Ovis aries: one gene and its partner. The protein of the gene in region 1 interacts with the protein of each later gene in a biochemical or structural test. Links are inferred from orthologs where the notes say so. Each region holds a gene or a part of one and is shown on either strand. Other genes may lie near its edges.

The links.
Region 2: the proteins of UBE2J2 (region 1) and MARCHF6 form a complex in vitro, tested with the Homo sapiens proteins (2 studies listed by BioGRID, with this or other methods). The link is inferred for Ovis aries from reciprocal best matches to the Homo sapiens genes UBE2J2 and MARCHF6.

Annotation. Positions count from the first base shown.
Region 1 is NC_056065.1:50,560,189-50,566,088, forward strand, and holds part of UBE2J2 (ubiquitin-conjugating enzyme E2 J2), read left to right. Parts: exon of another isoform or gene 1-3,076; intron 3,077-3,296; coding exon 3,297-3,427; intron 3,428-5,876; coding exon 5,877-5,900. UniProt on the Homo sapiens protein: Catalyzes the covalent attachment of ubiquitin to other proteins. Seems to function in the selective degradation of misfolded membrane proteins from the endoplasmic reticulum (ERAD).
Region 2 is NC_056069.1:62,994,549-63,001,100, reverse strand, and holds the start of MARCHF6 (E3 ubiquitin-protein ligase MARCHF6), read left to right. Parts: upstream 1-2,330; 5' UTR 2,331-2,337; coding exon 2,338-2,356; intron 2,357-6,552. UniProt on the Homo sapiens protein: Endoplasmic reticulum membrane-associated E3 ubiquitin ligase that plays a critical role in mitigating endoplasmic reticulum stress, the regulation of cholesterol and lipid homeostasis, and ferroptosis.

The DNA of each region.
Region 1 (5,900 bases):
AACATCTGGGGTGGAAACAAAATTCGGGCGGTCAGACTGGGAAGCTCCATGCTGGGTGGCTGGAGAGGGCCCTGGGCCGGCTTCTCGCCTATGCCTGCCTGCTCTCCCCTATGCCTGCCTGCTCTCCCCGTCTGCCAGTTACCTGTCCCGATCCACCCCTGGTCAGGTGTACGCTTCTCGCCCCCTTCCCAGTTAACACCACTTATCTGGACTATGTTTAGTTCACATCCATTCTCAAACTCACGCCGGGCCCAGCCTGAAAATGCTTAGAAAGGTCCCCGGGCAGCCCCCAGGGAGTTAATGAGGGCTTGAGAGTTCTCTGGGCAGTGGTCAGGGCTCTGTTATCTCTAGGTGAGGGGCCCTCGGTGTAACTTTAGGGTCTTGCTTACTTGAAAAGCCCAGCCTCTCTGCAAGTACTGTTGGATGCCAGTGCCTAGAGCTAGCACTCTGTCATCTGCACACCTTAGCCGAGCCGACCTCTGTGCAGGTGCGGGAGTGGCACGTGCGGTGGCCCCCCGTCAGCTGCGGGCCTCCATCCAGCCTGTGAAGCAATCCCACTGGTGAAGGGAGAGACTTCCGTGGGAGTCCTGGGCACGGGGGTGTCACGTGCGCTCTGGTGGGTCAGACCAAGGTCTCTGGGCGGAGAGAAAGGAGCCGAGCAGGCAGTGCTGGATGAGGGGCGAGTCTGTGTCCACGTAGTACTGAAGGGACTCTTGCCGGGATGTTGGTTCAGGCTACTGGCCTTCAGACTGTCTGCCCTGAAATTTTGTATGTGGACTGTGCTTCTTGTTTTGTTTTTGAATGTCTCCTGTGACACTTGTCCTCTGTCTGTGGGGACTTGGCCTGATGGGACCTTGAGATGCACTTCGGGGTCTGTGGAGGCACCCGATATGCACCCTGTGTGCTTGGGGAAGACGGAGAAACTGACTCACCTGTCATCCTGAGGGCACTGCTGATTATGACTTCGAAAGCAAAAGGGAGAGGAAAGTTCATTTGTGAGGAGCCAGGCAGAATCTATTTTGTTTTGTGTGGCTGTCCTCTAACTTTCGTGAAGCGTTGAAGTTGGCCACTTAATTGAGTTCAAGCACAAGTGTGTTTGAATTATCCGGTGAATTGGTACGTGTGTGGCAGAATGTCAGACTTAAGGTGCACAGTTAAAGGAAACAAGTCCTGGGTGATGGTCTTGCTTTTGACTTGTCATGGTGTTTGTTACTAGATGTTGTCCATGGCAAACCACCTTGGCCCCCTTGCCGTCTCTGGCTGGAGCTTAGGGGTGGTGCCAGGGGAGCACTCCCCTCTCAGGCTAGACCCTAACCACCCGCAGTGGGCACCCCAGCCAGCAGTGTCTGCTGGGGCCTGGTGGCACCTGTGCGATATGCAGCTGGGTGGCAGGAAGGCCAGCAAAGGGCAGAATGTGGAGGCACTTGACCAGGGGAGTCAGGCACTGGGCTGGGCAGGGGTGTGGCCACGTGGTTGGGGCTCTGAGGAGGGGTTGGCTCAGGCTGTGGGAGTGTCGGGGCCTGTGGGAGTCCGAATCAGGGGATAGAGGGCGGCCTGGGGCTGAGGACTTGGCAGGTGGCAGAGGGGTTGGCATATATTTGTTCAGTTCTGGGTGAGTCCTGAAGGGTGTGATCTGAACTGTGCAATGAGAAGGGTCAGTTGACTTCAGAGAACAGGATGGACTGAAATGGGGGGAGACTGGAAGCCAGAGGCTGGTCGGACGTCTCATGATAGTTGATGGGCAGTGTAGTGGGCCCTGCATCGGGGGTGTGTGGTGGGATGGAGAGAGTGGGAGCATATGGGTATCTAAGGTTTAGAGACCCCAGAGCAGGAAGCAAGGCTGGGTATGTGGAGGGACTACTGCTGCACCCTGGGGGTGCAGAGTGAGACAGCAAGCCCTGGTCATCATCTGGCTGGGTGGGTGCTCTGAGGCGGATCCCATGGGCACAGGGCAGGAGTCCATAGCCTCTAATGAGGCACCGTGGGCAGAGACTGATGGGAGGAAAGGTGCAAGTGAGGTGAGGAGGGTCCGGCCTGGTGCAGGGAGCAGTGCCAAGTGGGTACTGGCTGGGAGGTCTGCGTGGAGGTTTGGCTGCTAATATCCTGTGCTGTGGTGGGACAGGTTGGGAACACAGGTTGGGCAGAGTGATTCCTCACTTGCTGCCCTGTCTAGTCAGCCTCCCCCCTCTTCTTTCCATCCTGTGCTGCATACGCTGTGTGTCCTCCATCTCCACCGTGTTTTACACCAGTGGCTTTCTTGCTTTATTTTTAGCAGCAAAACTTTTTTGCTTATGCACCTAATTTCCATCTATGAGATGCTCTAGTTTGTTAAGTAGATGGAGCTGGAGCTGTTCTGGTGCCCCTGAGAGTGGGGAGCCCGTCTTCCACTTCCCCATCCCGCCCTCCTACCTCTGGAGCAGAGCTGAGGTGTCCCAGGTCCCCTGATCCAGGCCAGGTCTCTTCTCTTGAATGATGGCTGCTCCCTGCCTCCCATCCTAGCCTTCAGTACTGTCCTGTGCCGTCCTGTCCCTCTTGTGCCATCTTGTCTGTCCTAGTCTGTCCCAGTCATCCTCTGCTGGGCCTCCAGAGTGCCCTTTCTAATGGAAGATCTGATTTGACTTAATACTTGGGCTTAAAAACTTTGTGGGGTGCCGCCTGACGGCCTGGCCTCGAGTCCCTGGTCGGCCTTGTCAGCTGCCATTCACAGTGCTTCGGCTCCTGCTGTGGCCCAGTGTTGTGCCCTGGACACAGCACACTTCCTTACCTTTGCCTGTCCAGCTGCTCCTGCTTCCTCTTCTGTCCTGGATGTGTGTCTGGGTCTCTCCGGGGTCCCCTCTCTCTCTCCAGTCCCAGAAAGAGGCTCTTCCTCTATTCCCTTGTTCTCCCACCCACCTGTGGCCAGTGGTAAACGTGCTGGAAAATGTTTAACAAGGAGTTCTGGGAGGGGCATGGCACCCAGTGCAGTGCTGGGGGAGACATGCACATGGCTGGTGGTTGGGGCTGGCTTTAGCTCGCCTCCACTCAAGACCGGCGAATTCAAGGGCTCTCTCCCTCTGAAGCTTCTTCAAGGACACAGGTGAGTCTGCAGGGTCTCTCTTAACCTTTGTATCTGACGAAAGTCACATTGGCGAAGGACCTGCTGGGACAGGCGGGAAAGGAGACTCTGCAAGGCTCATGAGTGTCTGAGAGGGTGGGCAAGTTGGAGCGGCCCAGGGGCCTTGATTCCGGGTGGCAGAGGTGTGGGCAATGGGGGTTGCCTTGCTCTGTCCCGTGTCAGTGTAGACTTGTCTCCACAGATGAGCAGCAACAGCGGTAAGAGAGCACCGACGACAGCGACCCAGCGCCTGAAGCAGGACTATCTCCGGATTAAGAAAGACCCCGTGCCTTACATCTGTGCCGAGCCCCTCCCTTCCAACATCCTTGAGTGGTAAGGCTCTGCCGCCTCCTTCCCTGCACCACCTGCCACCTGGCTTCTCCCTGATGGGCTTAGGGCCAGAGGGGCCTCTTAGCGTGGGAAGGGGGTTCCTGTACGCTTGTCAGGCATGAGTGGACCGTGAAGCCTGCAGATCCTCTCTGGTTGTCTTCACAATGGATAGCAACCCAGGATGTGGCAGGCTGTCTTTGAGCTCTGCACGCGGGCCAGAGAGAGGATCCTTCCTAGGGGTGACTTTGGGGCCTGCAGCCTCACGCCTGTTGGAGAAGCTCCTTGTCTTGACTCTCCTTCTCTGCTCTTTGCTTCTTGATGCTGTGAGGTAGCCTGTCCTACGTTGGCAAGTTTGTGATGGGGGATGATGGGTCCTGAACCCCGCTCTGTGCCTGTGGACGTGTGTTTCATGGGAACTTGCCACGCCACAGAAGGGCTGCCCTTATCAGGTGTGCTGGTGACTTTGTGAGAAACAGTGTAGGGCTGAAACATTAAGGAGCATTTTCTCTGTTTGGAGGGTATTTAATATTTTATGTTTTGATCTTAAATACCATAAAAAAAGTTTTAGATCTAGAAGAAAGAGATCTGAGTTAAAAGTCTTTTCCAGATTGGACAGGTGTTCAAGGATTTTGGATCCACATTCCTTGGCTTGCAGAGAAGGGTGAGCGCTGGCAGGTGGGCAGAAGGTCTCAGGGAGTCCAGCCTTGGTGTATAGGGGAGACATCAGTGTCACAACTCGCCCTGCCCTCAGGATGTAGCTAGCAAATGGACAGACGGGCTCTGTGGCAGTCTAGGGGACATCCTGGTCGTGCCGGGGCCCCTCCTGAGTGGGGGTCAGGTCCCAGGTCTACTGTTAACCAGGAAGGCCCACTGCAGAGGAAGAGGCGCAAGGCAGCGTCCATCGGAGGCCAGGCACAGGCTCCCCTCCTCGCCACGAGCTGCGACAAGCTGTATGCTGGCGGGTTGTCCTTAGGGAAGCTCCTTTGGGGCTGAGCACCAGAGACTTCGAGGGGAGTGGGTCACAGGAACCTCTGCCTGGAGCCCCCCCAGTATTCCAGACTCCCAGAAGGACAGCAGGCTTCCTTTCAGCACTGACCACATTTTTGCCCAAACAGTCGAGGTGCCGTTAAGGTTATGAGACCCCCTGGCATCCAGTTCCAGACACCGGCTGAGGACGGCCATGTTGGGCCTGCTGTGTGGGCTCTTCCCAGCCAGGGTGTCTGTCCCCGCCACTGGAGAAGAGAGTAGTCTTCTGGAGAGGTCTGTACTCTAGGCCTTCCTCACTCTGCTGCCCTGGGGCTGTCACGCACTCTCAGAGCACTGCTTGCCCGGCCCTTCCTGATGTCCTCAGATTGGACACACAGATTGGGAGCAGTGACAGATTAAGGCCACGTTCCCCAATTTAAGGCCACCTTTCCCAGTTTGTTCCTGGTCTGCTGACATAGGATGATGGTATCTTTTGGCTCTGACCTGTCAGCCAGTAGAGAGCAGGGGTTGTCAGTGTCCTGGTGGGAAGTAGTGTTTGGAGAGGTGATACTCATGTGTGCACAGTTGTGTCTGGTCTTGTGTTTCTGGTTAGTTCTGTATTCTTCTTCGTGCTTTTCTGTTTTCTTTGAAAATTTATAAGTTCAGGGCTTCTTTGGTGGTCCAGTGGTTAGGACTCAGCTCTCACTGCCAAGGGCCTTGATTCCATCCCTGGTCAGGGAACTAAGATCCCGTCAACCACACAGAGCAGCCAAAAACAAAAAAAAATCGAGCAGTTCCAATGTTTCTTGCCATAGAGATGAAGTGTTGTTTATTTGTGTGGAGAGCAGAGTCCATGGGGCTGTGGCCCTCCGTGTGAGGCCTTTGGTGACCACCACGAACTGTCCCTGTCCCTCCTGCTGGAAGACAGCTGCTCTCGAGGTCACATCTGAGTCTTCCAGGGTTGCAGGGCCAGGGCACAGTCTCTGCGGGTCTCCAGCTATTCCTGGTGAGCTACTGCATGATATTTGGGCACACTGAAAAGCATCAGATTTCAAGTACATCTCAACTATAAATTGTGAATTTTTGTTTTTTTGTTTGTTTTTTCCCTCCACACTGCATGACATGTGGGATCTTAGTTCCCTAACTAGGGATTGAAACCTGGACCCCCTACATTGGAAGTGCCGAGTCTTAACCTTTGGACCTCCAGGGAAGTCCTGTGAAGTGAATTTTTAAATTGTCAGTTGATGTTAATGGTCAAAGAGGGTTAGCTTTTTGCGTACTATGTTGTGGATTCAGAGGCACTTTGCAGAAAACTTGGAGGGCACGGCCTCTCTGATCCTGTTGGAGAGGCAGGGAGCTGTGTAGCTGGTCAAGTTTAGTCACCTGCTGAATGTCTATGAGTGTATTAGTTTCGGGTGGGCCCTAAAAACCCCAGCCTTGGAGTGATGCCATCCCCAAAGCCAACTCATTTTCTCTCCTCCCTCAGGCACTATGTGGTCCGAGGCCCTGA
Region 2 (6,552 bases), on another chromosome or scaffold:
CCCCTGAGACTGGGTCTGAACTGGTGGCGGTGAGCTGCGCCCCTGGTCCGAGCTGAGTGAGACGTGCCCTGCCACAGGCCACAGAGGAGATGTGTCTGCTCCACATGTTGGGTGGGAGGGGTGGGGACTGAGGTATGAGCCTCCTTCAGATACAATTTCTTGGGAGACAATACAGTCCAAATAAATTTAAGGAAAAGTGGGCCTCCATTATTGCATCAAGAATTTGAATTCTTTCCCACCTTGGGCAACAGGAGTGACTGGAAAAATCAATGGCATTGGTCTTCAAAGGCTTCTGTTTTTCTGGAAGGTCTCCATTATCTTTAATCTAAGTCTCCTGATTGATGAGGCTTGCAGGAAGCAGGGATCTTCCCAATTCCTTCTCTCTCACAGACAGAAAAAGTCTTGCTAGCATTCTTAATTTATCTTTGCAATTCATTTACATAGTCTTTAAAATATATTTTCTTGGGATTACCAATATCTCTAGTTCTACTCAGGCAATTCAAAGATGGTGACATAACTTGTATTTTCTAAATAGATTTTTTTTTTTCCTTTTAAATTGGAGTATGGTTTATTTACAATGTTGTGTGACAGTTCTTCCTTTAGAGTAAAAAGCAGGAATTACAGTGAGGAAAGCTGTGTGCTGATCCAGGCAGGGCTGTCTTTCATCAGGCAGAAGCAATTCACCTCTGGCCAGGTAAACATCCACAGCTCAATATATCAAGCCCTGTGCACAACTTGTCGACTAAAACGATGTAATCACAACCTTAAAATAGTTACCTGGTGGGAATGCTTAGGACTCGGAGCCAGGGAGAAGGCATCTCAGTAGCTTTGAGAAAACTGCTCCAAGGAGGCAGGTGGGAAAGTCAGGCTATATACAAGTTTGCAACCAAGGGAGCAGCTGTCTGATCAAAGATTAGGTTATCAGGTTAAGGAATTTAGCATTCCAGGTATGGGAAGATGCAACCCTCTGGTCGCACTGAGCTCATTCCTTTCACACGCACCTCAGCTATGGGGGGCGGGGTGTCAACTCCGTTTCCTTGTTCACCTTGCATTTCCCCCAGCTCCTGAGCAATCGAGGGCGGGGTTGGGGTAGCAACATCCAGTGGATTGCAGTTTGGGATTCATATTTAGAGGCCATAAATCGCTGATGGCTGTGACACTTAATAACAAAGTGAGTGAAGTCGCTCAGTCGTGTCCGACTCTTTGAGACCCCATAGACTGTAGCCCACCAGACTCCTCTGTCCATGTAATTTTCCAGGCAAGAGTATTGGAGTGGGTTGCCATTTCCTTCTGCTGGGGATATTCCCGACTCAGGGATCAAACCCATGTCTCCCGAATTGCAGGCAGACGCTTTACCATCTGACCCACCATGGAAGCCCCCTTAATAACAAATTCTCACTTCACAGTTTGAACCAATTTCCCTTAGAGGCGGATGTTACAGCCTCCAGCCTAAGTAGTTTATTGAAGCGGTCCTTTCAGTCAAATGAAGAAGTCTCCTGGGGGAGGGATCTCGCTAAAGTTAGGACTTGCCTTTCTCATACTAATGATTTTAGCACTTCTTCAAAACGTGCATCAGAACTGCCCACAGGTGCGGAACAAAAGTGCCTATTCCTGGACCGACTCCAGACACGCGACACCGGAGTCTCGGGCAGGAAGAGGGGAGTGGAGCCGGGCGCAGGACTAGTCTTTTCACAGGCGCCCAGGTAGCTCTTCAGCCCCGGGGCCCGCCTGTGTGGTGCACCGCGGTGCTGCGGCGGGTGCAGGGCTCGCTCCCGCTGCCCTCGTCCCTTGGCTCCGTGCTTTCTCTGTCGCCGCCCCCCCGTCCCCACCTCGGTGTCATTAGAGTTCAGCTCCTTCTAAGGTTTCAGCCTCTCCGACCGCGCAGCCCTCTGGACAAAGCCCAGGTGGCCCGCGGCCCACGACAGTGGCCACCCGACGGCCTGTGGAGGGAGTTGGGGGCTGGGGAAGGAACGTCCCGCAACGCCCCCACGGCCGCCGCCCACTGAGCATGCGCACAGCGGCGCTGCCGGAAGTGACAACACACGTCGCGGAGGCGCCCCGCCCCTTCCGCCCGCACGCCCCGCCCAGGCCTCGCCCCTCCGCTCTCCCCGCCCCTCCCCCTCCCCTCTCTCGCCCGCTTTCTGTCAGCCTCTCTCCCTCTCCCTCTCCCCCCTCTCTCTCTTCCTCTCTCGCACCTGAGCACACGCACCTGCCCGGGCCCGGCTCCGCTCCCTCCTCCTTCCTCCCCTTCCCTCCCCCTTCCCCGCCCCGGCCGGAAGGCTCCGGTCGCGGCCGCTGGAGCCTAGCGGCTGCGTCACCGCCGCCCCCCCAGACAAGATGGACACCGCGGAGGAAGGTAAGTCGGCGGCGCCCGCGCCCTGTGCTTGCGGCGCCCGCGTTCCGGTCGGGCCCGTGCCGGTTCCGTGCGGCGCTCGAGGAGGGCGGCGGGGCCCGGGCGGCGCGTGAGGTGGCGGAGTGGGCGGCGGGCGCCTCCGCTCGGGTCAGGGGCTCGCGGTGACAGCGTCGCGAGCGGGCGGGACCGTGGCGGGGCCGGCACCCGGGCCGTTTGCCCCGCGGAGCAGCGGGGCGCGAGGGGCGGCGGGGAGCCTGCGGGGGACCCGTCGGCGCCTCCAGCCGTTCCCCGCGCGCCCGCGCCGGTCGTGGGCCGGGGGCGTCGGGCTGCGGTGGCCGGCGTGGCTCCCCGACCGCCCCCACTCCGTCCCGCCAGCCCCGGGGGGCGACGGCGCCGTCGTCGCGGCTGGAAGTCTGAGGGGGCGTTTTCTACGTCCTTCTTCCCCCCACCCTGCCACACTCGGTTTTGTCCGTCTTTTAACGTTGCTTCGCCCGGCCGTTCCAGCGGCCCGACCCCTTCGCCATGAAACTTCTTTGTTGACTCTGAAACTTCGCGAAAAACACCTCGCCAGGTGACGGCCAAATGACCCCTATTTGAGGCCCTCGCCCTCTTGCTCGCGTGCCCCCCACCGGTAATTTGTTTACAGACGAGGAAGGAGCAGGCCTAGCGAGGTTATTCGAAGCAGGAAGGCTCTGAAGAGACTCCTTTTGTTTGGGTGCAGTTTATTTTGTGCTCAGCCCCTGACACCGATAAGCAGAGTGTGTGTGTGTGTGTGCGCGTGTGTGTGTGTGCGCGTGTGTGTGTGTGCGCGTGCCTGGTGGGTGCGTGTGCTTTGACACCAGCTGACTCGTAAGCAGAATACAGAGGTGAAGACACAACTGAACATCTGTGGCTATTGACATGCGTTTGCTTTATTCAGTGGAGGTAGTTAGGTTGTTTCTAAGCAATTTTATCTTCCTAGAGTCTATCGAATATTGGGTAAGTGTATAGATGAATTTACTAATTTGTTTCTTGTTTCGATTATCAGTGGAGATACGTTTATGCTTGAGGTCTTATGTGGGGATGTGATAAGCGTCTTTCAGCCTTTCAAATTGTGACTCTTGGTGATTTTAGATGAAGATCGTTGAGGACTGTTCTGGTATGCAATAATTAGTGGTAGAAAATATGATATTGTCCATATATTTAATGAGTGGAGGGGATCAGTGTATCATTTTTTTAAAGAAGTCTTTCCTTGGATAATAAAAGAACCTCAGCCGTAATGATATTTGCATGTTATACTTGACAGTTTACAAAGCATAGTTACATGCCTTCACATTTGATCTTACTAAGAGCCCTGTGGAGTAGGTAGGTATTATTATCTTTTATAGATGTGGAAGTTATTGGTAGTTATTTTAGTTAAAGTTTGTCCAGGTTTCACACCCGATTAAGAAAAATTTGGTATTCTAATTACAAATAATTTTCCTTTCATTGTGTTTTGGATGTTTCTATTATGTACTGTGACTGAAAGGTCATTGCCACAGGAGACTCCTTTGGAAACAGTCAAGTGAAACTGCTGAAATTAAGAATGACTTTTTTTGGACAGGTGGTCCTAGTGTGTAAATTTCGGTCTACATCCATACATCCTTTTGGGTTCAAATTTTAATGACTGAACCTAGTAATACATGTGTTTATTGATTTATCACTTGATATATACCGGCGTCTTTTATTAAGTTCTCATTCTTTGGGCTTATGCACTTAGTACCTGCATACACTTACCATATGATAGTGGTGATTCAGGAATTGCAGAATCTCAGTCTGTGTGGAATTGTGGAAGACATATTTTCAGTGTGCTTCTTAGTGCACTGTGTTTTTTTTTTTTCTTTGTAAAATTATAATCAGGATGAGGTATAAATGATGTTTATGTACTAACTCGAACACTATTCTCTATTGAAATAACTAACATTTACTGAAGGATTGATGTATGGCATGTCCTTCACTAAACATTTTACACACAACTCACATTTTACACACAAACACTTACCGGTAGGTAGCACTCTCTTTTCATAGATGAGGAGACTGAGGGTTAGTATGATTAAGTAACTTCGCCAGCGTCATAACAGGTGACCGATGTCAGAGGCAAGATTCAAACTCAGTCCTGTTGGACTTCGTGATTACGTTCAGACTTCATGTTTAAATTAGATATTTATAAGTGGCTACGCTGTGTCTTCCTGGTGGCTCAGGTGGTAAAAAAATCTGCCTGCAGTGCAGGAGAGCTGGGTGTGATCCCTGAGTGGGCAAGATCCCCTGGAGAAGGAAATTGCTAACCACTCCAGTATTCTTGCCTGGAGAATTCCATGGACAGAGGAGCCTGGCGGACTGTAGTCCATGGAGTCACAAAGAGTTGGACACAACTGAGCAACTTTCACTTCACCTTGTATCCAGTGTTGAGAAAACTGAATTTTTGTCACTCCGTTTATAAGATGAATTATTTACATGATTGGCAAAGTGTCACTTTGCATTTGTTTTATGACACTGTTAGTTATGAAAGTGACTTTTAATACTTCTCATGCCTAATTTTGCAAAATTCCAAATTAGAAGTCTTCTGAAATTTTCAAATTAATGTAAACTTAACTTGAAAAAAGGCTGGAAGGAGTGGGAGGATTACAGATTTCATGAAAAAATGATACAGTGATGATACCAAAAAGCTTGGAAGCAACTTCTGTTTGCTAAATGAGTTACTACAGGTTATTTCTTAAATTAAAAAAATGCAGTTGGATTTTTATCTGATTATAAAAGAAACTTTCTTTTTGTAGGAGACTTGGAAAATATGGCTAAACATAAAGAACATAAAAATTTTTAAAAATCTTTAAATTTTATCACTCATTGTTAATAACACCAAAGACATTGTTTACTCACCTGTTTTTTTTATTACGTTAATATGAATAGATTGTTACTGAAATACCAACCAGCAAATAGTGTTAACTCTTCCATCTCTTTTAAAAATGCTTGTTGCTTTCCCCTAATGGTACCATATATGATGGTATATTCTCAGAATGTTTCATATTTGTAGTAAAAACCTTGAATCATTACAAAATTGATTATTTGCCAGATTTTGACGCTTCATATTTTTGTTTGTTCTGTATTAAAGTGTTCAGTATATTAAATCTTATTTTTGCAAAACCAACAGGTTTATCATCATTCTCATAATACAGGCATGCCTTGATTCTATTGTGTTTCACTTTATTGAGCTCTGTAGATAATGATTTTTTTTTTTAATTGAGGGTTTGTGGCAACCCTGCACCAAGTCTGTAGGTGCTGTTTTTCTAAAAACATTTGCTCACATGTATGTCTCTGTGTCACATCTTAGTAATTCTTTCCGTATTTCCTTTTTTTTTTCCTTTCCGTATTTCAAACTTTCTCATTATTACTGTATTTGTTACAGTGATATGTGATTTACTACTATTACAGTTGTTTTGGGACACCATGAACTGTGCCCACAAAGAGAGCAAACTTAACTGATCAATGTGTGTTTTCTGACTGCCCCACTCAACTGCTGTTGCCATTTCTTTCTTTTCTCCTCAGGGCCTCGCTATTCCCTAAGACACTTGAAATTAGGCCGTTTAATAACCCTGTAATGATCTCTTTTAAGTGTTCAAGTGAAAGAATAGTTGCCTGTCTCTCACTTTAAATCACAAGTTAGAAATGATTAAGCTCAGTGAGGAGAGTACGTTGAAATCCAGGATAGGCCGAAAACTAGGCCTCTTGCTCCAGCTAGCCAAGGTGTGAGGGCAAAGATAAAGTTGTTGAAGAAAAGAGTGCTGCTGCAGTGAACATACAGATGATAAGAAAGGGAAGCAGCTGTATTGCTAATAGAGTCTTAGTGGTCTGGAGAGATCAGACCAGGCCCACACTCCCTGAAGCCAAAGCCGACCCAGAGCAAGGCTCTCACTCTTCAGTTCTCTGAAGGCTGAGAGAATGGAGGAAGCTGCAGAGGAAATGTTTAAAGCTAGCAGAGCTTGGTTCATGAGTTTTAAGGAAAGCAGTTCTCTCTTTAACGGCAAAGTGCAAAGTGAAATAGCCAGATATCTAGAAGATCTAGCTGAGATAATTCTTAAAGGTAGGTCACACTGAAAAGCAGATTTTCAATATCCAGGAAACAGCCTTATATTGGCAGAAAATGCCAACTAGGATTTTAATAGCTGGAGAAGGGAAGTCAGTGC